Oreochromis niloticus: one gene and its partner. The protein of the gene in region 1 interacts with the protein of each later gene in a pairwise test. Links are inferred from orthologs where the notes say so. Each region holds a gene or a part of one and is shown on either strand. Other genes may lie near its edges. The genes, in order: tp53rk and tprkb.

Region 1 (16,083 bases):
TGGGTTTTTTTTGTTATTGTGAAACACTGTAGGCTGCCTGGAATTGGCCATAAATGTCTGTATATACATATATATGTATTGTAGGAATACAGCTGGAAATAAGCTGAGGGGAAAAAGAGTGTTTTGGGAAAAGAAATAATAAAGAGATGACTATTATGCCTAGTGGGAGGGGCAATGGGGTATAAAAGAAGGCTGTCAGGGCCTACCTGGGTATTCTGTGAGATGTGACAGAGAGGGTAACATGCAGACTGGCTCAGCCGCTTGTGTTTTGTATATAGATGTTTGTTTTGTGTTGAATTAAGTTAGTTTTCTATTTTCTTTGTAAATAATCTTTTTGTGCACCTGGGAGGCCGGCAGAATAAACTATCCACACTGAATGCTTCCTGACTACGCCTGCATTTGTTCGGGAGAAGTTTAGGAGAGGACCCCACGACAGTAACCATGAGGTCAACTCCAATTTGGTCTATTCAGAGTAGTCTTAAGCTGTAGTTTTTCCGTTAATTTACACATAGTTGCCAAATTCGTTAAATCTGTAGACATCTTTAATGTGAACATCTGACATTCTCGCATTCAAATATGACCAAGCAAAGAAAATTATCAAAATTTAACAAAAAAAATGTGTTTTTGTTGATACATACCTTTGTAAAAATATCTGTAGAGATATAAAGATCCTCCAGTAACACAGGTGACCAGTAGCAAAGTTATTACACTTGTAACAGCTATCACAGTGGCTGTACTGTGAAGCAGCTCTGGTGGAGCTGAAGGAAAAGCACATGAAAGTAACATAGTAAATATTAAATGGTTCTTATAGTGCTTTTCTTCTCTACAGGAAAACTCAAGTGAACTACAGGCACTTTTGCTTTGTACTTTGCTTTTTTGCTTAAGCGCTTTCTGTCTAACACTCACACACACTCATACGCCGATGGACACATCAGAAAGCAACTTTTAGTTCTTGCCCAAGGATACTTTGCCATGCAGACTGGAGCAGCCAGGGATCAAACTATCAATCTTCTGATTACCTGTGCTACAGTATACCACTATATATCTATGAAATCAAGAGCTCCAAAGAATAAATAAATAAAATCCCACCTTGAACAGCCAGTGTTACAGATCGGTTGTAGAGACCATTGTAGGTCTGGTGCTCAACTTGGCAGATGACATGTATCTCTCCACCCCTTAGTACTGAGGAGTGCAGCGTGATGCCACTACGAATGCTGTAGGTGCCATCTGGGTTGTGTACAGCCAGCTCATTGCAGACACGGGACAGTTGGCCCAACCCTGCATGGATGGTCTGGGTGCCATTTTGGATCAGCCACGTCACAGCCACTTTCTCTGGGTAGAAACCTGTTACATCACACTGTATGGTTTTCTCCTGTCCTTCTCTCACTGTTGCCTTTTCTGGGAGCAACACTGAAGGCTGAGCTGAAGGTGTACGGTTCAGAAACAGATATTACATTGTTATCATTAAAATTATTTAAAATGATTGTGCTTGAATTCGACAATTTGCACAAAAATGGATATAATGTCACTAATTGTTTTGTGCATCTTGGTCTTGAAGCTATAAAGACCATAAAGTCCTCAGTAACACATTTATTATTAATCAAGTGAGCAGTTGGGTAATTGTCTTAAAAAGAAAGCAGCAAACACAACTGGCAGATCTCCATACCGTGCTGCTGATAAGCTGCACCCTGGAATTTTTACAACGTTGAGACAGTTCATTTAGGTTTGCAGGCAACTGTTTGTGCACATATATATGTATAAATATATATATATATATATATATATGTATATTACTGTAAATTTTATGAGAATACTACTTTTTTATAGTTCAGCCTCTTCCAGAGGGTCACCTTGTTTAAACTTTGAGAATAAATTCATACATGTATAAATTTCATACAGCGTGATGTCTTAAACAAAAAATAACCTACAGCTTGTCTCTTTGGTGAAGCTTGCTGACAACTGAAATGTCGCATTTTAAATTACCTGCAACTTCACTTTAAAGTTTCTCCTTTTTTGTATTATTAAGCTAGATAAACACTGTGGCTTTCTTGGCCCATATAACTCCCAGGCGTACCGAGCACTTTCAGAGCAGTGGACTCTGTGTAGATCAGAGGGTTGATGACTCTGCAAGTGTACAGCCCTTCATCTCCTACAGTGACATTATGAAGCTGCAGGGACGCATCACTCTGCCGCAGGCACGTTTCATTCACCACAGAGCCTTCTTTGTACACTTGAGCTCTTCCATCTTCCAGCGTGTACACCATGCTCTTCTTTGCATGTTTGTCCACCATGTTCCACTCAATACTAAGAGCACTCCACTCCACTAGCTTATGCGGTGTGTCGAACATGCAGCTGAGCGTTACCTCATTGCCCACTAAGACACTGAGCTCTCTGGTGATCTCAGCTAAGGAACCTGGAAGGAGTCATGTAGACTATGAGAATGAAAAGGACAGAGCTGTCATTTAGAAGCTGGAACACTAACAAACACTCACCTTTACAGTACAAAGCAAGAACCATGAGTTTAATCGTCATGTTTGTAATACGCTGCTGATCCATGGTGTCTCAGATGTTACCGTCACTGTAAATTAAAAATGAAAGTGACATGTGACACATTTGTTTTTACTTGGGTGTGTTCGCACAATTCAAACACAGTTGACTAAAGATCACGTGGTGCGTTACAAATCCTGTGTTATTAAGCATGGTTGTGGTGGCTAAACATTCACCTTAAGTGTCTGCTTATCAGTCATAGTGCACCTCCTCTTGGACTTTGACCTGCCTACCTGACTTCTAGTGCGATTCAGACTCAGAATTTTAACTGCAGAAGAAAACCAAAGAGGCACAAGGAGAATCTGCAAACACTATCCACAAAGGCTCCAGCCAACCATGAAATTCAAACCCAAAACCCCTTTATGTATGTCGTCACCAGTAAGTTCTGGTTTGGTCTAACCAAAGTTGGTACTTGTGAAAATTTCTGGTCATTTCTATTCCAAAGTTTGTTCTCCATCCAACATGTTCACTGTACTGCTGTAGGGTCTTTACCTTACAATATAAAGCACCTTGAGGCAACTGTTATTGGAATTTGCTGCTATATAATTAAAACGGACCTAAAGTCACTTGAATAGCTGACTGTTCTCTACAAGTAACCTTCTCCGTGATTTAGGAAACACTCATTACTGCTGTCTTTAAAATCCTGCATCACTGCTTCAGGTATCAGTGCTCATTTCAAAATGAATGCAGTAGTGTTATAAAGTTCTTAATATAAATTGATCCACTTATTGTGTGTGTTTTCATAAATTCAGTTTACCGGTTCCATTTTTCATGGAACACAAACTACTATATATATACATACTAAAATGTATATATATACAGATGTATACATCTGTATATATATATATGTATATATGTATACATACATATATATATACAGATGTATATATATATATGTATGTATACATACATACATTTATTTTTACATATATACACATACGTATACACACATATATATATATATATACATATTATTCTGCCCTCACACTTAACTAGGCAGACAGACAACCATCATCCCATGTAGAAAGACCACACCGTTGTTCCTTTCTGGCAGATTTATTTGATTGGATGCATAGCATGGCTTTGTTGAAATACATTCATCCATTCATGTATGTATGTGGTATATACCATGTATATAGGATTGCAAGTTCGTGATATATATATATATATACATACACATACACACACATATATACACACATATATATACATATATAAAGAGAGAGAGAGCAACTGTGAAACTTTTTTGCTTACGCAGTCACTCAGACTTTTGGAACAAAGTGAAAATAATAGTTTAGCTTTATATGTAACATTTTTATATAAATCACCACATAAACAGCAAGATCTGAGGCATCATTTATTAGAAAATAGTTTAATATTCAATTACAATTTATGTATGTTAATTTACAGACTGTGCACAACAGTGTCTTAATTTCAGTATTATGAAATTCCACAAGTTTGCCCCTGTACACACATGGGGAGTATCTTCACCCCACCATTGACCTCTTCCTTCCCCTCAACCGAACCTCGTCAAGCTTTTTAATGACAGCTGATGACTTCTTGGATGACGCCTTGTAGCTTTTCAGCAGCTTCTCAAATAGTTCCTCTGTGTTGGGGTGGGTACTGAGGAAGGCTTTCTCCAGCACATACAAGTCCACACCCTTATCTTCAGGCAGAGCAGAGATGTAACTCAGACCAAAATCTATGAGGACCAGGTCGGATTCTCCTCCCTCTGGGCTGGGTCTCAGCAGCATGTTGGAGGTGGTCAGGTCTCCATGGATGACATCTTCATCATGCATTTTAGCCAGGACCTGCCCCACGCGCTCAGCCAGCCTCTGCAACTTCAGCTCCTTGCAAGAGTCAGACTGTTGAGCAGATGCAATATAGTCACGCACAGTTGAGGAACCCACAATCTCCTCCAGGAAGATACAGTGGCAGGTATAGTCCACAAAGTAGACTACAGGGGCAGATATTCCTGTGAAGAAGAAAAAGTCTGATTTTACAAACTTTGTGTGACTACAATACCAATCAATCATCGATTAAGGTTTGTGTGTGGCTAAAAGATGTTTCAGTGTGGGTGGAGCAGAGTTTAGAGAAAATGTTCAAATCCATGCTGAATAAGGGGCACAGATAACACAGAAGTTGAGAATGCACAACAAAACATAAGAGATAAAATGTGAGAAGGGTTGAATTTGTAATTTTTTATGAAGTTGACTTTATGCAGAAGCTGTGACTAAACATCTGTGGAAGCATTTGCTCATCTATTGTGCCCCCTTGTGGAGAAGGGGTTTGTAGACATCATATACCCACTATGAGTTATGTAGGGATCACTTTCTTGTATTTGAATGAAACAAGCAAAGTAATAAACACAGTTCACTTTGTTGTTAATCTACTAATGGCTGCTTAATCATTTAGTCACAAACCAGAAAACTAAATATTGACAGACCTGAAGCTTCCGTCTCTGCAGATTAAATATCGTCTGGTGTTCAGATAATAAAAGCAATTTAGCTGAAAAGTCTGGCTTAATCATTGACTCAGAAACTAACGACCAGCAAAGCCAACAGTCAATCCAGTCGGTTAGTTGGCTACAAATATTCTTAAACCGCCTTCGGGTGGTGCTAATTTGATCACTTCCACAAGCGGAGGACTTGCCTGCTCTCCGACACCGTAATATGGCGCGGACCTCCTGCACGGTCCTGCGGTGTGTCAGCTTTTCGTCTAAGGCTGGGTGTCTGTAGCGTTTAGGGAACCTTTCCTTCACTATGGTTGGCCTTCCCAGAAACTCGGCCCGGTATACCCGGGCTTCTGCCCCTTGCTTCAACAACTCTGCTTCCCTGAGGAACTCAGGGACCGCCATGTTGTTCTCCCGCGCCATGTTTACTTCCTCCTCCACGCTGTGCGGTCCCTCCGTTTTCCTCCTTGCTCTTTTTTACGTCTGCCACCTAGCGACCACAAAAATACCTACACATAAATACAGAGAAAAGTTTTCGATGTAGAACACATATACACAAATAATACAGAATATATACACAGATAACCTATGACTCACAAAGTTCACGCCATCTAAAACCGGCTTCTTGAACATGACACTGGGTTCACTGTACATAAAGAGGCCTTCATTGTTAGTATTAATGCAATAGACCACCTTTTGAATGTAGTGGAGCGGTGATTCAAATCATGGAAATGACAAATCTGCAGCAGCTGTGTGATGGCAGCATATCAGCATGGACCAAAATCTCTGAAGAATGTTTTCGTCACCTTGCAAAAACAATGCTTTTGAAAACTAAGGCAGTTATGGGGCCAAAAGGCGGTACAACACAGTAGCACCAAGTGGTGTACCTAATAAACTGGCCAGTTAGTGTATTCATTCAATTCGATTCATTTATATAGTGTCAAATCACAACAACAGTCGCCTAAAGGCACTTTATTTATAATGTAAAGACCCTGCAGTAATAATAGTATTAACATTTTAAGTTTAGTTTCCATTGATACAACCTGTTACATCCATATCAGCCATTGTCAAATTGAAGACAGCCGTTGGCCATTCTGCTGCTTACCTAAACCCTTCAATCCCAGTTTTTGTTTTTATTGCTTTGTCGCAATCATCCTCACCTCTGCTTGGTGAGGATGATTTTATTTAACAGCTTTACTCCTGGCACCTGATAACCACTCCGAGTTATTTGCCATTACTGACAAAATACAAGATGGGGTCAGGATGAAAAACTGTTCAGCAAATTAAGGATAAAGTAGAATTTGTAAATCCTGTGGCTTTGTTATATCACTTTTCTTTTCTTTTTTTTCTTTAATAACTCAAAGATCCCTGAATCTACATTTCTGAGAGGATTATGAAAAAGAAAAGACACTGGTGGAATTTTCAAAGGAAAAAGAAAACTTTCTTTATATCCAAAACTTCTGGTAGTTTTATGTCATTGTTGTCAAAGGAGTTTGCAAAGAAAAGCGTCTGGACTTCTTTAAGTTGCTTGAAGACGTTTCACCTCTCATCCGAGAAGCTTCTTTTTTTTTTTTTTTTTTTTTTTTTTTTTTTTTTTTGGGTGAAACGTCTTCAAGCAACTTAAAGAAGTCCAGACGCTTTTCTTTGCAAACTCCTTTGACTACGATGACCTGGATGACTGAGAACCTTCACAGACTTATGTCATTGTTATTTATATCACTGTGACTACAGGTTTTAAAATTTGTTTAGACAAAACTTCAAAATAGCTGCCCACAGTAGTTTCAACATGGATGGTCTTGAATGAGGGTGGTGAAGCTCATTTTTAGAAATTTGAGATCAAATTGTCTTCTTTATATATACTTTGGAAGACTCCTACAAAACCATTTTAAAAATAATTCTATAGTACATTCTGTCCAAAAAAAATAATCCATTGGCAGGTTCAAACTGAAGACAAATGGCAGCTTCCTGGCCTACCAGATGTTGATAAATTTAAAAGGGGATGGCAAATAGGAGGAGAGGAGGAGAGGGGCATGAAAACAATGATAAACTTGTGTGTGGCAGGAAGTCGACGTTTATAGACACACCACTGGAAGGGGGATTTGTGGGGTGTGGTCCTGCTCTTGAACTTCAGATACATTATCTCCGGTATGATAGTGAATTCCATATTAAGCACATATTTCTAAGGTACCATCAGCGCAACATTTTCATTGAAAATTAAATCGATCATATGAAGTAAGAGCAGAATTTCCAGTTTACCAAACCAGAATAAATGGCAGGCACACACAAACAGAGGTTGTTAAACAGTATTTCTGTTCAGCTACAATATAGTGTAATTAATTAAGGCAAGCCTACAGTGTATACAGTATATAGATTGCTTACATATCTCTTTTTTTAAACGTAAGAATATATTCTACAGCTTTAATTATTCTAGAAACCTTCAGTGTCAGCACTGCAAATTATGTGATATTATATTATGTTTACTGCACTGACATATCACTATCATCACCAGTAATTATATCACAGTTAATAATACGCGCAAAATGCAGTACGAGTATGTTTTTAACACTTCAGATCTTTATGCTACTCAACTCAGCACGTCACTTTCACGTTAAATGATTTCATAACGGGGTGTGGGGTTTTCTTTTTCGTCATTAATGTGTGTGTGTGTGTGTGTGTGTGTGTGACAAAGCGAGCGGACTGGTCCTTCTCTCTGCTCTGGCCGGCTGTGGGCGGTGCTTGCAGATCCTCTGCCTGGATTACCTTCCCGGGAAACTTCCATAGCTGACGACCTCTGGCGTCAAAACTTGGCCAAGAAATTCTTCTTTGCAATTCGACACTGCTGCCACGTAGCCCCAACTTCCTGGAGGGCCAGAGGTTTTCCAGGAGCATTTTTGTGTATTGTTTTCTGCTGCCAGAGGTGAGTCCATTTCTCTGTCCTACCCAAAAATATGTAAATTCACAACGGATTGCCCTGTGCGTGCGTGTGTGCGTGCCCACTGTGTCTGCTTAAATACGGTGGGAGAGATGAATAATGGAGCTACATTTCTCCACAACAGAAGAAGCTGGAGCGTTAAAATAGGCTGCAAGAGAGTTGTGAAGAGGAATTTTACGGAATTTAGAATTTTACGCAGAGGGAGAAGAATATGGTGACATTTACGTAACTAAAAGTAAAAATGCTATTGAAGTGTTTTATAAGGAAATATTTTACTTTTTACTGTCATGGTTTTAAGTGCGAAACCCAGCCGTGCTACAGATTTCTAAACATGGTATTTAATTCCAGGTGGATTGTTATTATTATCATCATTATTATTATTATCATTATTTTTGCAATAATAGTCAGAAACAAATATAATAGTTGTATACCGTATTTACTGCCTTACTATCTAAAAAGCACAGCAAATTTTGTAACTTATGAGAGTAACTTATGAAATCATTCTAGTTGCAGATTTTAAATATTTAAATATTTAATGAATTGAAAGATTGAATGAATCCATCTTTCACACAAAAACGTTTAACAAAAAAATTAATTGTTTTAAGTAAAGTGATGAAAAGTTACTCTGTTAAACTAGTTAGGTTATTCTCATAGAAGGCTCTTATACACCTTGGACTGACATGCGGCTAGCACAAAAAGACAGACGACTCTGCCAACATATGTCAAAGTTTCAGTTAAAGCGTTAAGTTGAATCGTTGTCTTTTGTATGTTAGTTATGAGCACTGTCCAAGTTATTGATCAGTGAATGAACTGTTGAATGACTCATCCACCAGTCAGGAAAGTTTGGATGTTTCAGTGACAGTTCAGTGTTCCAGCTACTGAATACTGAAGCTTGTCAGTGATAATTAATGGCTTCCAGAGTCAGCAGAGACACAAGTGCTTTTTAACTGCAGTAATGGTGTTCCTCTCTTGATATTTCAGAGCGACACATCAAATTCTCCACTGCCCTGTCACTGTCAGGTGACAGGATGTTTGGCAGAATTACACTTTGACAAGCTAACTGCTTTCTACACAGACATGTTTTATTTCATTCTTTTTATACCTACTTTGCATGGACTCCCTAATGAAATCATTGTAATCAACAAGAGCGTTGTCATGGCAGCGGTGCTGCAACAGGCTCTGATGGGCTTCCTTTGATTTTCTGTCAGCAGGGCTTCCTGTGGGCGCCAGAGCAGGAGGACAGCACACGAAATGCAGATCATCTTTTTATTATTTCCCATATACTCTACAGTGAATGTCTTCTGAAAGATGGATTTAGAGCTGCATGGTCTGGCTTAAATGTGCACATAACAAGACAGAAGCAATGAGTAGGTAATTTTATGTAAATTAGTTTACCACAATAAAATGCAGATCTCTACTGTGACATAAAGTCAATTGGTGTAAATATTGTGTAAAATGCATTAGCGTTGACTAATGTGATCTGCCAGTGCAAATGCATGCTTGATTGTTCTAGCTGCTGATAGCTCACATTTCACACTGAAGCCCTGAATCTACATTCAGAACTTGATTATTGAACAGCACAACATCTTTAATTACTCAAAGGTGCAAAGGTGAAAATTAAATCACTACATACACACATATGAAGGGAAGACTGAACTCCAGCAGGTTACATCTTCATCTTTTTCTGCCTCATTTGCATTTCACTCAATAGATTCTGAACATCAGAGAACCACAGGTTGATCACAGTGACCAATGTGGCTCATTTATTAGGGTACTTTCTAATGCTAAAATGCACCTGTTGATCTAACGTCATCAGCAAGATGAAGTTGTAATACCACTTGCTGATGATGTCAGGAGTTTAGTAAACTGTAAACTAACTCCTGACATCTGAAGGATTTAAGATTTTGTCCAAATAACATCATCCAAGTATGCACCAAACCAAGCTGTTTCAAGTTCTCTCTTTATTTCTAGACGCTAACCCAACAAACACAAAGAAAAAGAATGTTTCCAATTCAGTTTACCACGAATAACATAAAATGAATGGAGGCAAATCTTATAACCTTTCAGTAGTTTTCTTCTGTGTAATTCCTAACAACTGAGATTATTTGGGAGGCAATACATTTTCTTTTATACTTTGAAAATTAACCATCTTAATTTTTCTTTCCTCACAGGTCGTCCTATCACCCCACTGGCCAGTGTGGTGTCTACTCTGGGCGGACTTGTCTTTGGTTATGAGCTGGGCATCATATCGGGTGCTTTACTGCAGCTCAAGGCTGATTTCAGGCTGTCGTGCATTCAGCAGGAGGCGCTGGTCAGCTCCTTGCTGATAGGAGCCTTGCTGGCCTCGATCATTGGCGGCTGCCTAATTGACCGTCATGGCTCCAGGAACTCCATCCTCATCAGCAATGTCATGATCCTGACAGCCAGCCTGGTTCTGCTCATCAACTCATTCTTAGCACTGGTTATAGGAAGGATCACAATAGGCTTTGCCATGTCTGTATCCTCCATGTCCTGCTGCCTCTTTGTGTCTGAGGTAGTAAGTCCAGACCGCAGAGGTTTCCTGGTAACACTGTATGAGGCTGGGATTACTGTGGGCATCCTGTCAGCTTATGCCATTAACTATATCCTGTCTGGCTCTAAAAGAGGGTGGAAGTGGATGTTTGGTCTAGCTGTGGTACCAACACTGGTACAGCTCATGTCCATCTGCTTACTCCCTTCCAGTAGTAAGGATTCTTTCAACCAGAGTCAGTGCTTTCAAAATGACAGGACTGAAGCCCAAGAAGCAGATGACTCAGAAGTGCAGTCTAGCAAGAGAAATAAGAAGGTTCAACACAGCACTTTCTACCTGTTCAAGCGCCAGGACAATATGAGGACTCGGACTGTCATCGGGCTGGGATTAGTACTCTTTCAGCAGTTCACAGGCCAGCCAAACGTACTCTTTTATGCCTCCACCATCTTCCACACAGTGGGATTTCAGAGTGACTCCTCAGCAGTGTTGGCATCAGTTGGGTTGGGATTGGTCAAAGTGATTGCTACTCTGATATCCATGGCGTTTTCAGACAGAGTGGGCAGAAGGCCTCTGCTCATCGGAGGCTGCTCTGTCATGGCTCTGTGCCTAATAACCATCGGACTCCTCAGTGGACATTCGCAGGTGACCGCTATGAGACCTTGTAATTCTCAAAACATTGACGATAACGAAACACATGCATATCACTCACCTGTTGGCAATGACTCTGTTTTTGATATGTCTCTGGCTGGAAGCCACTCTCTTTTTAAAAACACCACACAAGATAAAGATGTAGTGTTCAATAAAATCGGCCACATTTCTTTGGAACCCACTCCAGAAACTTTTCCTAAAGTCCACGGCAAAGTATTCAACTGGATCATCCTCCTGTGTATGATGGGTATTGTCAGTGCATACTCTGTTGGATTTGGACCAAGTGTGTAAATTCACTCAATATTATTTACTTTATAGATTTAAAGCTTGAAATAATTTCTGTGTATTTGTCAAGCATAGCTTTACCTCCAATACAATTTTTACCTGTGGGTTATCATAACTTTTTCTTTTTTTGGATCAGTGACATGGCTCCTCCTGAGTGAAATATTTCCAGCTGCTGTTAAAGGAAGAGCATTCGCATTCACCAACTGCTTCAACTGGGCTGCAAATCTGCTGGTCACCTTCACCTTCTTGAATGTTATTGGTGAGTTTTGGAGTTTCAATAGCACTATAGGTTTTAAAGTAGCTAGATGTTTACCTTTAGTTTACCACAAAAAATAAATGAATGAAAAAATCATAATAATTATAATAATAACATGCTTCCAAAACAAATGTTCATTACATCTATTGATTTCATGATACATGATAAATGGACTGATTCTTATATCAGTCAAAGCCCTCTATACAACATGCCACATTATCCCATTCACACAAGCACTGTCTCTATGCTTTGAAGTGCTTTCTAACTGCCAGTCACACACATTAATACTCCAATTGATGCATCGGAGAGCAACTTGGGGTTAGTATCTTGCACAAGGATATTTGCAGAGTAGGGGGAGCCGGGGATTAAACCACCAGCCTTCCGATCAGTAGATTATCGGCTCTACCTCCTGCGCTACAGCCACCCACAAAAATGTGGAACGCTTCGCTTTAGTATTGTAAAAAGCGAGTTACTCTCTCATTCCCACCTCCAGTTTTTATCAGATTTGCTTCTGGCTGTGGATAATACTCAAATACTACAATTATTTGTGCTTCTTGAGATGGGAATTCGTGATTGGTGTCATGCTAGCATATAAAAGTTGAAAGCTGCTTGAAAGCTTGTTAACTGTCAATTATGTGAAAATTCGGAGTGACTTGTTTATAACTGGAGACAACTCTGAAAGTGTGAAATATGGAGAATTATACTTTATTTTTTTCCTTTTTTTAAACTAAGATAGCTATAATGTTGACTTTTAAATGAACCCAACCTTGACCCTAAAAGTTCAGCGTGAAATGTGATGAGCTGGGTCTCCTGTGCAGAAGGATAATTTGCATGAAGTTAATAGTATACCAAGATAAAAGATCTCCAGTTTGAAGTTAAATGTGTTGCACAAAATAGTTTAATATTTTTTAATAATAAATAAACTCAGAAAATGCAAAATATAAAATCTATAAATGCAGAATTTTTTTTGAAAGCTCAAAGTTTAACCATTAACATTACTTGTTTGATTTAAAATCCACTGTTGTGATTTACAGGAGCAAATTTCTTTTTCTTTATTTATTTTCATTATTCAAAAACTTATGGCCCTAGTTGTATGTCATTGACCTAGAACCCAACACACAAATGGCAGCCTGTGTATGTAAAACTAGTTATTGAACATTTAGGATTTTTAAAATAAAAGATTAATGTTCTTTTTAAATAATTGCTTTAGTATGAGAGGGGATCTTCAAAAACATATCAAGACCCACAAGTGTAAATATTTTTTTGAACATATTAGCAAAAAGAAATGTGTGTTTTAATTCTGCAGATATGATTGGACTGTCAGGGATGTTTCTTGTGTATGGGCTAACTGCTGTGGCAGCTGCAGTGTTCTTCTACTTCATGCTACCAGAGACAAAAGGGAAGACTCTGGAGGAAATAGACAAGGAGTTGCGTTTGAACAGGTGTGATCTGCAGTCTATTCATTTGATCAAATAGAGAGAGTCCCGAGTGATGCAATGTGAGGCCTCCACTGTTGTTTTACAGGTTTTACCACCATCGGGAGTGCTGTGGCTTCATCAGCAGCAGAAATACCTCCCCGCGATACCAGAGAGTGCACTATCAGGTTTGCACATCGGACTGAACCAAAAAGATAATGAACTGTTTAGGAAGACATCACCTCAAACAGCTGACCTGAAATCTTTAGTCAAAATAAAAGTCGATAGTTAGCGTGTGCCTAAGTTCATGAGGGTTGAACATGAATGATATAGGACTTTGTAACATGTCTTTTGAATTTAACTGGGTGACATGAGTTTTTTTTTTTTTACCATTGTGGGCTTATTGGATTTCTTTGTTAAGGGAACTTAACAGGTCAACTATCTTTCCAGCTCTTCCTTTAGAACAAACAAACAACCTTTATTTGTCACATACACATTCATACAGAGTACAACATGTAGTGAAATGCTTGTGTCCAAGCTGCAGAGACATAGATGTAGCTGCGGCATTCCAGGACATGGTTTTAGCATCCGGGGGGGGGGGGGGGGGGGGGGTCTAGCCAGGACCCTTACTGGATACTGGGTGGGGAATACAAACGTGCGAGTCTCACTCCAAAGGTGTGTAGTCTTACCACTACACTATCCAGCTGCAGGGGATAGTGGGGATGAGAGGTGACTGTCAAATAAAAAGTTTGCTTGTTTATCTCAAAGTATCAACATTAAGTGCCCCTCCCCCCGAAAAAAGTGTTAGGGAGTGCATATAGACACTGGAATTGGGAGCTGTCTACTAGAAACGTGAACTTGAGTTCAGCAGGTTTAAACACTCAACACTATGTTTTGCAAGGGGGCAAAATGATTGTCAATGCAACTGTATATGTGTGGTTTCACTGTCAAATTAAATTACAGCTTTTTTTTTCCCCCCCCCCATACACTGAAACAAAACAAACACCATTACTACTCCACTAGTTTACATAAGTGTTACACACAAGATTATAATGCAGTGGAAGTTCACAGAAGTCTTTTCATAGATTTTACAGCTTGTCCTACTGAATAAATCTTTCATACTACACCAAAGTAACTGTTTCCCCACCATCTACAACAGAAATGTGTGTGTGTGTGGAGGGGGGAGTTATAGTCCATCACAACTGGCCTATAAGCAGACACATCCTTATGGTAGACTTTTTGAATGGGAGGAGGACAATTAATGGCAGGAAAACCAACTGTGTTCCATCTATGTGAACAGGCTTCAAATTCTTGATACTGTGCAACATCTGAAGAAAAACATCCACTTCAACTGGACACAGATTTGTTTTTGCACAGAAAGAGGTAGTAGATTTTAACAAGTAGTAGAAACGGCATACATCCGATTGGTGCTGTGGGACAGAGTTGTAAACACTGAACTCGAGATGGCAACACCTTTCAAAACTGAAGTTGCACTTTGGGATACACACACACTTCTTCTGCATATTTATATTTTCAGTGTTCATTTAGCATCAGTGCATCTTTCTTAAAAAACTCTTAATTTCCAGATGTTGCATTTGTAGCAGCCAAGTCTATGTAATCATGACAGACATGAATCAGACAGATTTACCTGATAAATAAAACACATTTATTTACACAAATATTTTCAAATACTAGTCTTCTACATAAGGACAGAAAAATATATACAGTGATGTAGGGATTTAAACTGCTCCATTGTCAGGTCAATGTATACATGTTTTGATTTATTTGCATTTTCAGGTTTTGAAATGGAAAAAAGGCAAATGTACAGCAGGATCTAAAACTTGCACTTTCAAACTCTGGCACTAAAACATTAGGGGAAACTATCTTTCAAATGCTATTATACTCCACCGCTTCCCTCAACGTGTTGGTGAAAGCCAACAAACTGCGGGACTCTTCAAAAAGCATGTCACTCACTATACATAAGAGGTGAACTTTTCTCTAACAGTCACCAGCAGGTAGGGCTGTCTCAGTGAAAGGATTATACCTGCCCTACGCAATGCAACATTAATCTTAATTTACTTTACTTACTCTGGATTTTAAGAGCTGCAGTTCCCTCATTTAAGCACACTCCTTTTCAAATAGATTGGAGTCTATCGCATTTTGCTGTCATTTCTGGTTGCACTTGCTTCTCAATTCTGTTTCATTTGTGGAGCGGCACGTGAAGAGAGTTGATGACAGCCCCTTATCTTATTCTTCAGTTCCATAAAAAGTTCAGCAGAGGAACATAGAGGGCCAACAATGTTCCTCCTCTGATTGTGTCCTGATTACACAAATATACATCCTCGCATGTGGCTTTAAAGCACAAAGGTGTTCCAAAAAAAAAAGAAGAAAAAATATACATCACTGTACTTCATTTTGTTGGTATTGTGACAGCCCTACCAGCAAATGACAATGTCCTATGTTTTCATTCCATTCACTACACATCACACTGTCCACTCTGTGAGAAACTCCTATTAAACAAGCTTCCCACTGGAGGGGAAGGGAAAAAAAGCAATTGGTCAGCCTCTTCTTCCAAACAACTTGAGTAAACTTTGGTTAGAGCTTGAAGTAATTCAAGAAAAGCCACTTGAAGTATTTCAAGGAACTGGAAAGCAGCGCATTTAGAGAAACCATTTCTTTGAGAACCTGAATGACCCTTACCTGGCTTCTTAAAAGATCGCACAACAACACTAGAGTCGAACAGACACCTTGATGGTAGAGAACTTTTATCCAGCAGTCCACAATGTTTTGGATTAGAGAAAATAAAAAAAACAAAGGAGGATGACGTGACAGGGAGTCACATAGCAAAAGAAGACGAGTGATCTTGTTTGGTAAGAAAGGCAAGACAAAGCTACTCGGGCAGAGAAAGTGTTGAAGTGTCATTGTGTTTACATACACCTGGGGTACAGAACAGCACCAAAATCTTCCAAAATAGTGTGATCTGGAGGGTTTTTCAACTCTCCTGGGGAGGTCAGATGAGTGTTCTCATTAGGTTGTGTG
Region 2 (17,260 bases), on another chromosome or scaffold:
TTCACAAACACACCTTTGTGGGTTCCCATTACAGTCCCATCCTCAATGGAGACAAAGTTCCCAGGTTTGGGTTCCAGATACTGAAAATAGAAACAAAGCAGCTGAAGATCAAAATGATCTGAGGTCATCTTAAAAAGAGATGGGAGGTTTTGTCCTAAATCCTATGAAAATGAGATACTTTTGCCATGTGAAACAAATACTTACCTCCAAGATGAAGTTTTCAAAGTTTCTCTCTCCAATAAAGCAGATACCCATGCTCTGAAACGACATGCAAGTCAATTTAAATCCTGTGTTCCTCTGTCCTTATTAAAGTCTGTAATATATTTGAGCACCTCTTTCTTCTTCAGCACGTGGTGAAACCCGGCCTCAGCAGCAATCTTTTTCACAAATTCTTTGGTGAGTCCAGCGAGCGGGAACATGGTTTGCCGTAAGGCTTGTTGTGGGATCTGACTGAGAAAGAAGGTCTGGTCCTTGAGGAGATCGGCCCCTTTGTACAGCTTCACAGCTGGTGACAGGAACACAAGGAAAAAAAAAAGACAAAGTTCACTCACAGAAACAAAAATAGTGGAAATTAGTGTCAAAATCAGAGACATAAGAGGTATAAAGTGAAAGTCACACTTACGATTTCGGATCTCAAATCGATCTCTGAACAGCGTGGTGGGCGGAGCTGTGTGAGCCTGTTCGAAAACTTCGTCATCTTCCTGTGATGTCCTGGCATAGTGGCCTGTTGCCATGGCATCAGCACCTACAGGAAACAATAAATCTCTTGGAGTGTGTCTGAGACTTAAGTGATCATATTTTATATTTCAACCAATAAGCATGAGAATGAAAATAAAACAGCGTACCCAGGGTGTCGATGGCGTACTTGTGGAAGTGGTTAAATTTGATGTGCTTGTTGCATAGTATGTCTGGGTTTGGTGTTCTTCCCCTTTCATATTCCTTCAACAGGTTACTGCAAACCAGACAGAGAGAAACTGCATTCAGTGCTCAACACTGGATTTAAAAAAAACAAGTACAAAATTTGAGAGATTCCACATTCTGATCCTAGTTTTTGTTCTAAATCTCATTGAAGTCAATATCAATTTTAAATGTAAATCAGAACATTTTTCCTTATCAGGAACCCTGGAAGCTCGCCTCATATTGCACTTTAAGCTCTTCCAGCATGCACACAGTTGTTGCACATCTGCAAGCCACTTTGCAACCAGCCTCCAACTGAGCTCCTACTTTTTAATGCTGCATATGAATATTGTGGATAGCATGATGGTTTGATAGTTAGTGCTGTTGCCTCGCAGCAGGAAGGTAATGGGTTTAAATCCACTGACCAGCTGGGGAGGAAGCCAGGGAATCTGGAGAGAACCCACATAGGATTTATGTGGCGTCTGCATGTTCTCCTTGTGCCTGCATGGGTTCTCTTTGGGTACTCCGACTTCCTCCCACATTTCACAGGCACACTTTAGGTTAACTGGTGATTCTTAATTGGTCGTAGGTGTGAATGGTTGTCTGTCTGCCTGGATGACCTGCCCAGGGTGTAACCTTCCTCTTGCCTTATGACAATTGGGACAGGTGGAACAAAACAGGGAATAGATGTAGCCCTCTCTTCTGTGCTGACTGCCACCTACAGCTTTCCATGTATGTGCACAGAAGGGCAGGGAGCCCACACAACAGAAGCATCCAAATATAACTTACTGCACACAGAAATATCTTTGGGTATCGTGGTCCAAATGACCTGCAACTGTCTTTTTAGCAGCTCTTTAAACTAGTATGTTTAGAAATGATATGCTGAAAATCACTTTGGAGCATTTTCACAAAAACGGCATTTCTCAAATTTCATTGGAGATGGCGGCATCTGTACCGGACAAAGTATGTTGAACACAGCGCCGACAGGACGATATACAGAGGAGGTGGAAAGGGGATGGAGGCAGATGATAAGCTGCTGTGAGCCCTAAAGGCAGCTGACAGAAGAAGACAGAAATACCTGAAAACTTCATGCCAGTACTCTTTGACATAGGACATTTGATGAAAGGGGACATCCAGGCTCTGGCACACTCTGTATGCGTCCTCACAGTCCTTCTCTGTGCTGCAGACCCCCTTCTCATCCAGAGAGTCCCAGTTCCTCATAAAAACTCCAGTCACGTTGTAGCCTTCAAACAACACACAATCACAATGAGACTCACTTACAGCTTTACTTTGGTTTTTCTGACTTTATTTGGTTTATTTCTTTCATTCGTATACAGCAGCTTCCCCTGCCTGGCTAACCTTTTCCCATCACAAAGCCAGTGCAGGTGTGCTTCAGTGTTTCCACTGCCAGCTTTTCTCACCTCGTCTCTTCAGCAGTAACGCTGCGACGGAGCTATCAACGCCGCCGGACATGGCGCACACCACGTGCTTTATCAAGGCCATGTTTTCATATTACTGCAGTCTGGCTCTGAACACTTTCTCGCTCACGAAACTAGGACATTTCACCCAGCTGCTCTACAGAAGCCGCCATGTTTGCCGTCCGCACAGCAATAGCGTCCGACTTGAAACGCATTTTATGCCGGAACCATCAAGCTGCTGAGGAGGGAGCCGAAAAAGTTGTAACACTAAACTTCAAGCAGCTGAGTGAAAACAAATAATAAGGTCTGTGTAAAACATACCGAACAGAATAAATATACATTTTTGGTTTCGTTTAAGGACGAAACAAGTTGTTTTATATATAATTTAACTTTCACGTTTTTTCCTAATAAATCACAGGCTCGCGAACTGCTTACCAATTAAATCAACTCAATTCTTTACATTTTCCGTTGATTAAAACTGTGAACTCATGGTTGAGAGCTGCAGTGGTTACATATTTTGAATTAATCCTACAGTAACTGCAAAAATATATCAATTAATAAGTGTCTTTTATACATTTATGTAAAACTAAACTACTGGGTGTGATGATGTTTCTCTGTTTCTGACCCACCCAGATGGGTGAGGTGTCTGCAGACGCTGTCACTCTGGACATGCTAAGAGAAGCGAGAGAGACGGTGAGGAGCAGCCCTCTGGGTGTCATCAACACCCCCATGATCGCCTGGAGCCAGACCACCCTGCCTCTCAGCATCAGCTGCAACATCCACATCAAACTGGAAAACATGCAGAGAACTGGTTGGTGAAACCCACTTTGTTTGGCTTCCCTGACACTTTGCTGCAGATTTATTGATCTCCTGTTTTTGAATGACAGGGTCTTTTAAGATCAGAGGAGTAGCCAATCAGTTTGCCAGGAGACCGACGGGTGGCTGTTTTGTCACCATTTCTGCTGGAAACTACGGCAAGTCATTTGCATATGCCTCAAAACACTTTGGGTCAAAGGGCAAAGTGGTGATGCCCGAAACTGCCCCAGAGAACAAGTCCATCTTTATACAGGTCAGAGGTCGTTTGTGGCACAGTTAAGCAAAAGGCAAAAGCCTTAAAAGTTAAATACAGACAAATAAATTACTCCCTAATAGGTGTGAATTTATTGCTTTGTTATTTTCATGGAGTGGTTATTCTTGTCCTCAGAGTTTAGGGGTGGAGGTGGAGCGAGCTCCTACATCCTGTCTGATAAACGTGGTGAACCGTTGTGTTCAGGAGGACAACATGACCTTCCTGCACTCCTTCGATGACCTGGATCTAATTGCAGGGCATGCCAGGTACAATCAGGGCTGGATGCTAGTGCATAAGAGTGTTTTATCTTCGTCTTTTATAGGTAAAAATTCGATTTTTAATATCGCTGTCTTACATTAATTGTGTGTGCACATGCATTTAGTCTAGGTATGGAGGTGCTGGAAGTGATGCCGGAGCCTGATGTGGTGGTGGTGTGCTGCGGTGGAGGTGGGCTCCTGGCCGGAGTAGCTGCTGCCATCAAACTGTCAGGTTGCAGTAAAACCAAGATCTACGGCGTGGAGCCAGAAGGAGGTAAAAAGTCACCAACAAACTGATGTTTAGCTTGTTTTTGTGTGCAGAAACTTTAAGTGTGTTTCTGCTTAACACAGCTTGCACAATGTACAAAAGCTTCATTGAGAAGAAGCCAGTAGAAATGGACAGCAAGAGCATCGCGTCAGGTCTTGCACCACCTTTCGCAGGTAGTTTTTGTTAAATTTCTCTCCAGCATATCTGCTTGTATATGAACAGTTCTTTTAAAATTCCTTGACTTTCTGTTTGCGATTCATGAGAAAATAGAAGAGTTTTCTTGCTCCATCACCAGGCAGGCTGCCCTATGAGCTGTGCCAACGTTACGTGGAGGGGATCGTCCTCGTTAGCGATGAGGAGATCAAGGCTGCTGTGTCCACGCTTTACAGATCTGGGCTGGTAGTGGAGCCATCAGGCTCTGCTGCCTTTGCTGCCATCGTTAACAACAAGATCCTGGAGCTAGAGGGGAAAGATGTTGTGTGCATCCTCACCGGAGGGAATATTGGAAAATCCGAGCTTCTGAACTTTCAGGACTGACAAACTACAAATCTGTGCCAGTAATTCTCTCAGACAACAATTTAGAATAAACATTGTTAATACACGTTTTTACTGCTGTCGCAATTCTGCGTCTTTCTGGTATGTTTCTTATATTCTTAAAAGTCTGCACAGTGTGAGAGAGTGTGCTGATTAGAATGTGTAGGTAAGTGCTTGACTCTGATTGCTGATTGGGAATGACAGCAACTCAGCCATGAAGTGGTATACCACATAACATCCACAGAGCGGGGACAGCATATGGTGATGTGCATAGTGTGCAAAGACCACCACCTTGCTGCAGACCTCCAAACTTCATGGAATAGGTTTCCATGGCTGAGCAGCTGCATCCTAGCCATGGGCGATTGTGGCTCAACATTGTGGGAACAGTTTGTGGATGCCCCCTTTCTGTTCCACCAGGACTGCACACCAGTGCACAAAGCAAAGTCCATAAACACATGGATGAGTGAGTTTGGTGTGGAAGAACCTCAACCTGATAGAACACCTTTGGGACGAATTAGAGCAGAGACTGAGAGCCAGGCGCTCTCGTCCAACATCAATGTCTGACCTCACAACTGTGCTTCTGGAAGAACGGTCAAAAATTCCGATAAATCCCTCCTAAACCTTTCCACAAGGTTTGGAGTCTCTCTTCCACTCAAGTTCACATGTGTTTGAAAGCAAATGAGCAAATACTTCTGGCAATATAGTGCACCTCCACCTCTCCATACTGCAAACATCATAGTCCACAGAGAATCCTGCAAACAAGAAGGGGCTCAGTAATCCCCCCCCTTGAACCTATCTGTCACTCCTACTGCATACCTCACACATGTCCTGCAGCGCGCTCACTGCCACTCCTTACTTCGTCATGCAGTACCACAGTTCCTCTTTTGACAACCTATCATATGCTTTTTTTCTAGATCCCAAACTCCTGACCTTCTCTATACTTATGCAGCAACACTCTAAAAACTCTTTCTCAGCACAAAGCCATAACTGCTTCTCTGATGGCAGGGACATATTCAAGGATGGCAATTCCAGGAATCATGCCAGGAGCATCATCTTCAACCTTGGCTCAACCTCCACAGCATCCAGATCTTAACCCCACTGAGATTATTTGGGATGTGTTTGAGAAGACTTTACATAGCACGTCCTGTCATCGAGTTGACAAAAAATGAATGAAGCTCTGGAAATAAATGCTGTGACACTGCATAAGCTCATCAAAATGTTGCCCCGGAGGATGTGTACCATACTCAGAGGTAAGGGTGGTCCAACAAATTATTCAGAGTGTGTGACTATTTCTGGATGGGCAGTGTAGCTTATTGTGTTACATACTGTTACATTTGAAATACTGTGATTCTCATTAACACTTTGTTAATGAATAGTAATTACTTTGTAAACTATGAACATTAACATGATTTGCTGCAGTAGAATGCCAATTGGTGATTATAATGCAATGCTTTGTAATCTATAAGCATCTGAATGGTTATGATAGTTCCTGGTCCTCCTTCACTACGTCCATGAATCTTCTCTGAGGTCTTCCTCTTTTCCTCGTGTCCTGCAGCTCCACATTCAACATTCTTTATTAAATATTTCTAGTATTATCATCAACGGACGTAACATTTTTCAAACAAGGATCAAATACCTTATACTGAGTAAAAAGTGTTGAAATGTGTGCTATGAGAATTTTCTAATGTCATCAGAATGTGTTATTGCATCTTATCAGCTATATTAAAAAAAACATAATTACCAGTTTTATGAAACAAAACTGTAGAAAGTACAATTTTGTCAAACCTAACTCCAAACTTTTTAAAACAAACAGCAGATTTATTATTCATGCCTCCCCAGGCTGACAGCCATTGGCTGAAATTTGGCTCGACTGAAGTGTTTTCGTGATAGTGCTTCGGGCAGTTGAGCTTCTTTGTTTTTTAATTATTCAGAGGCCTGGCTCACATCCAGCTCAAAGCAATTTGGATTCATAATTCAGCTCTGCTGGCAAGAGAGCAGCTTTACATCGCTGTCCCCATCAGTCACAAAACTAACCTTCAGTGTACAGAACCAAAAAAACACAGTGAATGAAAAAAGTTCAAAAGGTCAAATAAAACAAGAAATAGGATGATGCTAAATAATAAGAAACACAAAGATTTCTACCTACGTCATGGCCGCGGCAAAGAAGAGATTAAAAAAGAATAAACAAAGATGAGTTCACCCAAAGGTTTAAGAAAAATAAGATTTATTTTGACTGAGCCCAGTGTACAGAGATCAAGACTGACAATTTCTGTTGGTTTAAACTTAAGAAGGTACTGGGCTAGTATTAAAAACAGACATAGATCTATTGACAACAGATCTATTGTTAAACTGCTGTGTGAAAAGAAAAAACAAACACATTTTCTCACATATTATTATGCATATCCTGGTCTTACAAGGTGTGATCATAAAGTTCTGCAACTCTGCAAAAACAAAAACAGTCCCCCCTCGAAGGTGGTCTCTCGTGCAGCACTGCATGAATCCATTAAATTTGGCTTCATTTTAGAGAACAGAGTCGTATCTGGCTGTATGTAACCAGTGGTGAGCTACAATTTGGTTGGTGTGACCAAAAAACCCCCAGCCTTTGGTGTTTTCGATTTACAGTGTACAGATTTACGTCATTTCTACTAAATGCCATCCCTTGAATGCCTTGGGATATTAGATCCTTGAATAAGCCTGACCTTAGTGCACAACACATGAATGATGGGAAAAAATCGTCTAGATCCTGATGCGTTGCTTTTGGACTGTGTGCTGTTTGGTCGGTGGGCTGTAGGTGGACAAGCCGCTCTCATAACCTTTGATGATCCTCCGAGTCAAAGCTGTTTCAGCCTGATACAGGAGTTAACATTTGAATTGCTCCAGTGGACAGAATGGGACGTTCAAGGAGTGACCAAAAAATAGCAGCGGTGCTGGAAGTAGTCCAGTCCTGCACAAGGACAGTGTGTTGAAGTGGAGCTCAAAGCGTAGTCTTTCATTTCTTTAAGGGTGAAGTAATAAAAGTCACAGAAGTTTATAATGGCACCTAGTATATCCCGCCAAACCTACATAACATCCTTGGTGGCCATTCTGCATACGACCGCATCAAGCAGACTCCCACATTTCTCCTCCTGAGGAGTGACTTTGTACAGCTGTAATGGAGGGAAAAAAAACTTAATTAAAATATTCTTTAAATTCATCAAGCAAAGTGTTAAAGGGGGAGTAAAAAAAACTGCATTTGATTATGTACTCTGTGGGTTATAACATGATTTTAGGCCCAGTTATTTTTCTTTTGTCATCTCTTTCCTGAATTTTTCATTTAGTCCGGGACTGGATATAATCCACATCTGAGAATGTTTTGGGAATAAAGCAACATTAGGAGAAACAACTGTGCAGCCTGTCACCCCCATAACATAACAAGATACAAGTGTGGAACGCAGATGAATTAGAAGCAGCGACCTTTTTGATCTTTGTATGGTCTGACAGTGAGGAAAGCTCTTCCACTGGAACCTGCCGGCCCTCCACCCTGGCTGCAATGTCTGACACGTCCTGGGACTCATCTTTGCTGTCAACCATGACGATCAGAACGGAGTCATCGCCATCTGAGATCCCAAATCTTTTAAAGGCGTCTGAGATCTATATTAGTGGAAGCATATGGATAGCTTACATATCTAAAACTACATTAAGAGTAACTTTTTTTTTTTAATGGGAACATGCATCACAGAAATATCTGCTTCTCCTCACTTACATTATTAGTAGGGGACAGATTGAAGATGATCTCCGAGTAAAGAGTTCTTGTCTTCATTTTTTCAACTTTCTCTAAGTGAACGGCTTTATTGGCAGCTACCAGCACTTGAAAAGGATCCACCAGCTGGAAATGGAAGCACAGGGTCAACGTGAGAAAACAGCAAGACTCCAGGTAATTCTCAATGTTCCTATTTCAGTGAAAGATGCGAGTACTTAACGGGTTTATTAGCCTGTGTTTTATACTTTTAACAAAGCACTGCTAAAACAGACGGAAAAGGCTCACCATCGTAGGGTTGATCAAGGCACCGTTTATTTTCCCTTCCATGGCGCTTTTTTTCAGCTCTGCAGCATTTTTGACTTCTTTGAAGAGCATCTGGGTCACTCTGTGGTCGGGGAAAAGCTCCAGCTTTTGTATTAGATGCATTCTGAAAACACACACACACACAAAAGGTTCGATAAAATACTATAAACGGCACACGGACCACGGTGCTTCACGTGAAGTCTCTACACAGCGGGGGGAACCATAACACGGTGACACCGCGTCAGAGGAAATCTCCTCCTAGGAGGAAAAAAAGGATGTCACAAGGTAGTAAAACGGCAGTCAATAACATAATCATCCAAAATAAATCATACATATATGTAAGGCAGATATTATTCGACAGATAATCCTACGCTAAAGTATTTAGCACAGTACCGGAACCTATGGTTATACACGAGTTTCCGTACCGAGCCTATTTCTGAATCGGACCGCCAGCTGTCAAAAATCACAAATATTCTTCCGTTTAGCAACGGTGGACATGTTTCAGACAGTTTTCCTCTAAATTAACGTTTTCCCGCGGTTTAAATTCTCGAGTCTAGTCGTTATGCGAGATACTCTAAAGTCTAACAGCTAGCTCTGGTCTGAACTTTTCTCAGTTTTACACCGTGTTTCGTCGTCAAACATGGAGAAATTTGAAGGCTACATGTTCACTGCTCTGTGCAGCACCAACTTCTTAATATCCTGCCTGCTGTTCTCCAGAGTGACCCGCGAGCAAAGGGAGCCCTACATGGACGAGATCTTCCACGTCCCCCAAGCTCAGAAGTACTGCCAGGGAAAATTCAACGAGGTACAGTGTGAGTGATGAGGGTGAGCCCGCCATTATCAGGCGGATTAAGGTTAGCTAAGAGCAGCGGGGCTTTCGATTAGGGTTAATCTCCACACTGGGCATATAGGGCAGCATCAGTATGGTATGCCTGTCTGGATGGGTTATATTTGTTGATGTCACGTGGGCCAGCTTTAAAAAGAGCATGGGACTTTGTGGTGAAGTGAAGCTTAACTGCTCAGGTCTGTATGAAGCTCTGTAAACCTTACATTACTAATGGCTATCTGTAAAGACATGTTGCAGTTTTTTCATCCTCATATGTGACGTGATGCATGGCAGAGACTGACAGTGAAAGCAGTGTGTGTATTAGAGGAAACTTGGCTAAACGATGGTGTTTTAGTCAGGGATCCATGAGAGAGAGAGAGTGAGTTTTCTAAAAAGTGTTAAAGCCTTGCAGAGAAAAGATTGGGGTGGTTATCATTCATCACAGCCCTGCCTGGTTCACATGCAGCAGAGTAATATGATGCCCGGGTCCTAGCAGAGGCCTGCGAGGCTCCAGGCACGTAGGACAAGAGACCAGTCAACGACCGCCTTTTTGGATTTTACGGATTGGTAACGCCTACCCGGAGTCAGCAGTTCAGACAGATGGTGACTTGGATGAGAGCAGTCTTTGACGATGATTTGGGGCTGTTCGCAATGTCTGTGAGGGGAGGAAGAGAACAACAGTGTTGGTGATTCTCTGGAGGGCCTTTTTAATCTGCTGCTACGAACCCCATGTACCACAGTGTAATGAACTATGATCTCAGCGGTGGGTCTGTAGAAGCACAGCAGCAGGAGCATTTAACTGAGATGATTCTTCCCGAGTATCCTCGGGAAATGCAGGCCCTGCTGGGGCTTCTAAATGATGGCTGAGGTGTCATTGGACCAGGAGAAACCATTAGACCCGTGGATGGATGAAATTTAAATTACTTTATTTGTAAATTTGTGTCGTCACATACTCCACTGGACGATATTCATATGTATCAACAGACTGCTATATCATTTGGGCTGTAATTTTAAGATAGCATATAGGTGAAGTTCATAAAAAAAAAAAAAGCTGGATTGTCTTGTGGCTCAGGAGCCAGAGCAGGTCGTCTATTAATCAAAAAGTTGGTTGTTCGATGCCTGGCGGTAATAATGAACTGTGAGTGCTGATGCAAACACAGGGTTTTTTCTTGAATACTTGTATCACAGACTAGCCAAGAAAACTCTGACAGTGCTATGAAATATCCCTGTGGAGGGCCACAACAATAGGATTACAAAGGGATACAATTAATATTGAGCACCGTGAAGCTCAGCTTATTGGTGTGGCCCTTCACAGCAGAAGCCCCCCCCCCCTACTCAAGAGCCATTATCCGCTCACTCCACATGATAAGCGAACTTTACACCTTGTGCCGTGTTAACATGTTTTTAATCCATGCAGTGGGACCCGATGATCACCACTCTCCCAGGCCTTTACCTCGTCTCAGTGGGAGTCATCAAGCCTGTGGTCTGGCTCACCGAACTGACAGGCGAGGTGGTGTGCTCCACGGCCATGCTGCGCTTCATCAACCTGCTCTTCAACTGTGGCAACCTTTACCTGATCTATCTGCTCCTCTGCAAGCTGCACCTCAGGGAGAAGGTAAGTCCAGGACACGAAGACAAGACCACAAGTGACTTATTTTTTTTCTGATGTCACATTAACTTCTCTTCTAGACGCGGACAACCTCACGCCGAGTCCTGTCAGCGCTGTCTTTGTCCACCTTTCCTGTGCTCTACTTTTTTAACTTCCTCTACTACACTGACGCTGGATCTACTTTCTTCATCCTATTCACCTACCTCATGACCCTGTACGGCTGCCACAAGGCCTCCGCGCTGCTGGGCGTCTGCTCCGTGCTCTTCCGTCAGACGAACATCATCTGGGTGGCGTTCTGTGCAGCCACTCTGGTGGCAGGGAAAATGGATGACACCTGGAGGGTGGAGCATACAAAAAAGAGGGACGAGAAGTCTGCACCGTCTCAGATCCCGCTGTCATTCAGCGGAGCTAAGAGAATCCTGCTTTTCACTCTGGAGTTCCTCACCTCACCCAATCACATAAAGGCGGTGCTGTTGGTGGCCTGGCCTTACGCGCTGGTCGGCATTGGCTTCCTGGTGTTTGTGGCGCTCAATGATGGGATAGTGGTTGGCGACAGGACGAGCCACGAGGCCTGCCTCAACTTCCCCCAGCTCTTCTATTTCTTCTCCTTCTCCCTGTTCTTCTCTCTCCCCGTCTCGCTGTGTTACCACCGCGTCCTCCGCTTCCTGCAGGCTCTCAAAAAGCAGCCTTTGTTTTTCCTCCTGGTCACCGGCATCTCTTTCCTCCTGGTGTGGAAATTCACCTTTGTACACAAGTACCTCCTGGCTGATAACCGCCATTTCCCCTTTTACGTGTGGAAGAAACTTTTCCAGAGGCACGAACTGGTGCGTTTCCTCCTCATCCCTCCATACATCTTCGCCGGGTGGAATTTTCTGGACTCCTTTAAATCGCGCTCTCTCTTTTGGAGTGTGGCTTTCCTGGCGTGCCTCGTGGCTGCCACAGTCCCGCAGAAGCTCCTGGAGTTCAGGTACTTCATCGTTCCATACCTGATGTATCGCCTGCACATGCCCCTTCCCTCCCTTCCCAGACTCATCGGGGAGTTCCTCCTGTACACGGCCGTGAACGTTGCCACCATCTACATCTTCATCGCCAAGACCTTCCACTGGCCAGACAGCACAGCAACGCAGAGGTTTATGTGGTGAGGAAAAGACTAAAGTGGATCATTTCAGGATTTTCTCCTGTGTTACAGGGGACCAGAACATCTTAAAAATCAAAGCAAAGCCTCTGTTACATCTCAGTATCAGACCGACACGGTCATATCATTTTTATACACTCTAACCACACAGCTTTGTTCAAAAGGTGTAAGGTTTTATTCTCCCTACAGACAGAATCAGTATCTCCAGTTTGTATTTGACTGGCAAAAAAAAAGTACTTTTCAATGACACTCAAAACACTCATAAATAAATCCTGCCAGTCAACTGTGAATCATTTCATGACTGAATGAAATTGATATTAACAAAAAATGTTAGTAATAATAACAGTGGGAGATCTCAGTATTGTAAGAGCGCTGGTGCAGATCTAAATCATAATGAAGAATTTTCAATATACTGTACTCGCATGTTGTTTTTACCCCAAACAGCTTTGTTTCCCCCTTAAAGCATTGATTGAAGCATTTCAACCTTGGAATAAAAAAAATTAGGCTCTCAACTAAATTAGCTTCTTTTGAGATTCATAATTCTGACATAAGAAATGTAACTGATTCAGAAAATCAGAGGATTTAATTTGTAAATTCAACAAAATGTTTATTTTGTTGTGTCAAGTCTAGTTGTTAGGCTTCCTTGTTTTTGTACGGCAGTTTTTTCTACAGCACTTGTAAAATGCAGTACAACAAAATCACTCTTTTGCAAGTTTAATTAAAGAGACCAAAAATGATATAATCTTAATGTAAAGTTGAGATTTCTTTTGATGTGGGATGGTTTTTTAAAGCATTTTGTGCCAGTGATGGACGCTGACAGAACTTTATAATAATGGGACTATTTGAAGATGTACATACATTTTTACCTCGATATTCACTATGATTAAGCCATACGAGTCCACTGGAGGTGACTAAGATGTGTGTCGAGATGTTCATTGTTAATTTAGACGTTTTAGTTTCTGCTCTTCTGTATGTGCCCTCGTGCTCGATTTGTGGATGTGGTTAATTTCGCTGCTTATTTGTTGTTGTTTTTCTTTATGCACGAGATTTTAATCATAAAATTCATCCTAACGAAAATCCGATCACGTTGGTTTGTGACTCATGCAATCAAAGTCAGTCAAATCTGAATGTGTAATTTGTCGTGTTTAGTTTGAATGCAGTTTTTCTTTGTTCACATCAAAGGTGTGACCTGTGTGTAGCTGTGAACACGAGTACATGTTGTGCATTGATGCTGTAAGTATGCTGCTCCCATCTTCATTCAACTGTGGAATAAAATATTCAAAGTCAAGTCTGTAGAGCACTCGTTTGAGTTTCACGTGAAGATGGACAATAGCATTATATGTGCACTCTACGGTCACTTTATTAGGTACACCATGCTACTTCCTTGTTGAAGCTTCTTTTGCCTCCTCAAGATGATCTGAGCTTTTTAACATGCTGCATTCTCCTGTTGGAAGCAGCCGTCAGAAGATGACTACACTGTGGTCATAAAGGGATGGACACGAGTATTCGGGTAGGCGGAGTTAAAACTAAGGGGACTAAAGCGTGCGAAGAAAATATCCCACACATTTGTTACACTACCAGCAGCAGCCTGAACTTTTGCTACAAGCCAGGATGGATCCATGCTGTCATGTTGTTCATGCCACCAGGCAACGTTTCCCCAGTGTTCTGACAGGCGTGTGACCCGGTGTGGTCTTTCCTATCAGCTCGAAGCAGTCTGGCCATTCTCTGACCTCTGAAATCTGCAAGACATCTTCTCTGCTGCTCGCTGGATAGTTTCTGTAAACCCTCGAGATGTTTGTGTGGGAAAATCTCAGTCAATCAGCAGCTTCATCCAGACCAGCTGCCACCAACGTTGTTCATTGGCCATTTTTTTCCCCCTCTACACTACTTCCTCTGTGTTTCGACAACAAAAATGTATGATGAAAACAATAAACACCTTTATTAAACACCTCGTTATGTTGAAGGAACACAACAGAACAGAAATCAAGTCTTTTAGAACTTAATCTGATTAATCTAATTAATATTGTGACTATTTCTCCTTACTGACATCAAGTGCTACTAACACAGAGTTTGTCTCAGTCTGACTCACCGAGTTAACGGATTAGCCAGAGTCAGCCACCAGGAGGCGCTATAATGCAGCGCTAGAGACCCCTATGAACATGAAAGTGCAATTCATCATGAAGTAAATGAATTCAGCATCTGAGCAACACTGGAAGGTACTCAAACATTAATCACTAGATGTTTTGTTTGAAGTTGGCCTTGAGGAGAGATTTTTAAGGTTTAAACTGAATCAGTGAATTCATATAAAGGGCCTGACTCTAAGAAACACATTTACAGGTGAGCATTTTTATTGTTTTACTCAAACAGTATCTGTGATGTAAGATTCCTACTTTTAGCAAATGTAGCACTTTGAGGGCCGCTTTTGTCGCATTTCATGTTTCCTGCATGTAATATTTCCAGTGGGTGGCCGGTCTGGGCTTTTCTACAGAGCCATGCTGCTGTAATAAGTGCGGTATGGTATTGTCTTGCTGAAATAATAAAGGCCTTCACTGTTACAGGCACCATGTGGATGGCAGCCTATGTTCCACTGTGAGGTATATTTAACGCAATACAAATTCAATTAATTTGTATACATTTGTTGAATTTGTTGAGACTTTCTGGGGTGACACCTTTGCACACGGTCATGTTATTAACTGCAGCAGTTGTGCAACATTCAGTTTTCTAACATTACACACTTTAATAATGAGTACCAGGGCTAGTAAATAAAAATAGAGCCTTTAAACGATTAATGCATTGCATCTTTATGTTTTATGCACACAGGGTCCTGACTTTTTGGAAACACTGTGGTAACATTATTGAAAAGGTCAATGCTAATTTAGAGCAGTATTTTAGAAGTGCAGACTCAACTGTAAGAAAGCAGAAAAAACGCATGGCAATGATTGCTCTCCATGTCACCTGTATCGTTACTGGATTCTAATTACAGCAAGAAACACGGGGCCAGCTCACAGCTCATAAAAGTCACACTGGGATGATTACACAAATGTTGATTGCACAGCTCAGCCACTCCGAGCCTGCTGAAAGGACATACTGTATGTACTGTTGTCTCCGGAGCAGCGTTCACCGCATCTGCTCGCTCACTTCATGGTTTATAATGTTTTCACTTTTTCAGGTTTGTCCTCCTTTCACTACATTGATTTTTTTACCCTGCCAATTAATGAAAGTACAGATTAGTCTTTATCACCAGGGCGTTTGGGCATTTTGAAAATGACAGTCTCAAAGGGATCATTCATATATTCAATTCATTTCCTGATGCAATCAATCAAAGTTTGTCCTTGATGATGTGGAATATCTTATTCATCACCGACTGTGTTTCAGGAAGACCTGATAAAATAAGAAAAAGGATGGAAATGATTGACACCAAGTGTGAGTAAGTATTTCAGCAAACAGAAAAAAAATCCATCCATCCATCCATTCGCTTCCGCTTATCCTTTTCAGGGTCGCGGGGGGCGCTGGAGCCTATCACAGCTGGGAAAAAAAATTCAACTCTACAAAATGTAAATATCAAAGTCAAACTGTGACCATTCACCTTTTCCTGCCAGTATTGTACTTTTGTGTGCGGAAGAGTCATAGTTAGCTCTACTTCAGTAAACCTGACTTGTACCTTTTTTCCTAAGTAAAATCTTGACACTGCACATGTGCAGTAGAGCACATGTGAGGATAGTGTGTGGCAAACATGCAGACACTCCTATTATTACGCTCTCTCCCAGGAAAGGCCTTGAATTTGTGTGACCTTCAAAGTTTGCTTTCAGTAACTGGAATATATGACTTGGGTAAGTTTTGTGTTTTACGTAACGTTTCCCAAGTTACCAGATTGTCTATGAAACGCAGTCTAAGCACACAGTGCACAAACTAAATACAGCTTCAGCTCAGTCTCAGTGCAGCCTAGCAACGCACAACTTGGTTCAAAGAATAGGTGTGCATCTGTACACACATATCAGTTACAATGATACATGTGTGCTGATATTATCTCTCAAGAAGCAGTTTTTAAAGAAGGTAAACAAGTTTGAGGTACAACAAATTACACAAGAACTGGAATGGAAATCGCTTTTATGGAGTGATGAATCCAAATTGGCCATTTTTGGTTTAAGGATAGAGATAAAGCACTGAGTGTCTATAGCTGTAAAACATTTTTCAGCATCACAATGATGCAAACAATCAATGCAGTAAAAGCACACCAGGAAAGAGACAAACACAGCGCAACACTATGAGTCATGGATCGGCCTCCCCAGAGCCCGGACCTCAACATTACTGAAGCAGAGTGGGATCATCTCAACAGAGAACAAAACAAAAGGGAGTCAACACCCAAAGAAGAGCTTTGAATGCTTTTCGGGAAGCCTGGAGAAACATTCCTGAAGACTGCGTAAGAAATGACAAGAAAACTGCCCAAAAAAGGCTGTTTTGAAGAATAAAAGTGGTCACAAGCTTGAAATACTGACTTTCAAGCTTGTTACATACAAACGAGGGATGACTCAAGATTTTGTATTATAAATAGTAATAATTTTAAAGGTGGGCACCAAATGTGGAAAGTGGACGATATCTCTGTTATTTGATTAAGGACATGATCTGTATCGTAAATATTTATTTTTCTGTCAGTGGCTGGAAAACAGGATTTTTTTCATTTACACTTATAAGAAGAAATTTGTTGGATTGTACACTCAAAATATGCATTTTCTCACAGAACAGAGTTTAAAATTTGTATCGGTAATGAACCCCCAAACCTCCACTGCACCACAGAACGAGCGCAACTCCCCTCAAAGTGCAAAGACTTCACAAACGTTGATGTTTTATGGCGTTTTTATTACAGCACACTGTGACGTTGTAGAGTGTCATATTGAAAATCTAAAAAGTGTTTTGCACAGCTCTCCCCATGCCTTTTCATATGATATATCACTCTTTTTTTTAACATCGACTATGACCTAGAAGTCAAATGCTTGGCCGGCTGAAGGTCTAATTTATCGCTGCAAAGTTTGACAATGATCCATAAAAAGCTGTGGGTAATATAAAGTTTTTACTGATTTTCTGACTGACTGACTTTGACCTCGACCCGATTGTCAGCAAAATTGAATCAGCTCGAGCTGTTCTTGGTATCTACCATCAAACAACATTTTAAAATGATATCTTGAGCAGCTGTCGATGCTAGGCTGC

Evidence for each region.
Region 2: the proteins of tp53rk (region 1) and tprkb interact in binary tests that used the Homo sapiens proteins (3 or more experiments, as listed by UniProt). The link is inferred for Oreochromis niloticus from reciprocal best matches to the Homo sapiens genes TP53RK and TPRKB.

Annotation. Positions count from the first base shown.
Region 1 is NC_031970.2:36,232,757-36,248,839, forward strand, and holds tp53rk (EKC/KEOPS complex subunit TP53RK), read right to left. Parts: upstream 5,486-16,083; 5' UTR 5,423-5,485; coding exon 5,200-5,422; intron 4,523-5,199; coding exon 4,035-4,522; 3' UTR 3,888-4,034; downstream 1-3,887. Other genes in the region: slc2a10 (solute carrier family 2, facilitated glucose transporter member 10), read left to right, coding at 9,256-9,298, 10,103-11,371, 11,510-11,632, 12,936-13,071, 13,154-13,250.
Region 2 is NC_031981.2:4,864,940-4,882,199, reverse strand, and holds tprkb (EKC/KEOPS complex subunit TPRKB), read right to left. Parts: upstream 8,734-17,260; 5' UTR 8,609-8,733; coding exon 8,468-8,608; intron 8,309-8,467; coding exon 8,186-8,308; intron 8,074-8,185; coding exon 7,897-8,073; intron 7,590-7,896; coding exon 7,503-7,589; 3' UTR 6,651-7,502; downstream 1-6,650. Other genes in the region: trmu (mitochondrial tRNA-specific 2-thiouridylase 1), read right to left, coding at 14-80, 205-258, 333-505, 623-745, 846-952, 1,976-2,141, 2,319-2,400; uncharacterized protein srr, read left to right, coding at 2,949-3,126, 3,203-3,384, 3,520-3,650, 3,767-3,915, 3,993-4,082, 4,205-4,446; alg10 (dol-P-Glc:Glc(2)Man(9)GlcNAc(2)-PP-Dol alpha-1,2-glucosyltransferase), read left to right, coding at 9,126-9,290, 10,729-10,926, 11,001-12,062. UniProt on the Homo sapiens protein: Component of the EKC/KEOPS complex that is required for the formation of a threonylcarbamoyl group on adenosine at position 37 (t(6)A37) in tRNAs that read codons beginning with adenine.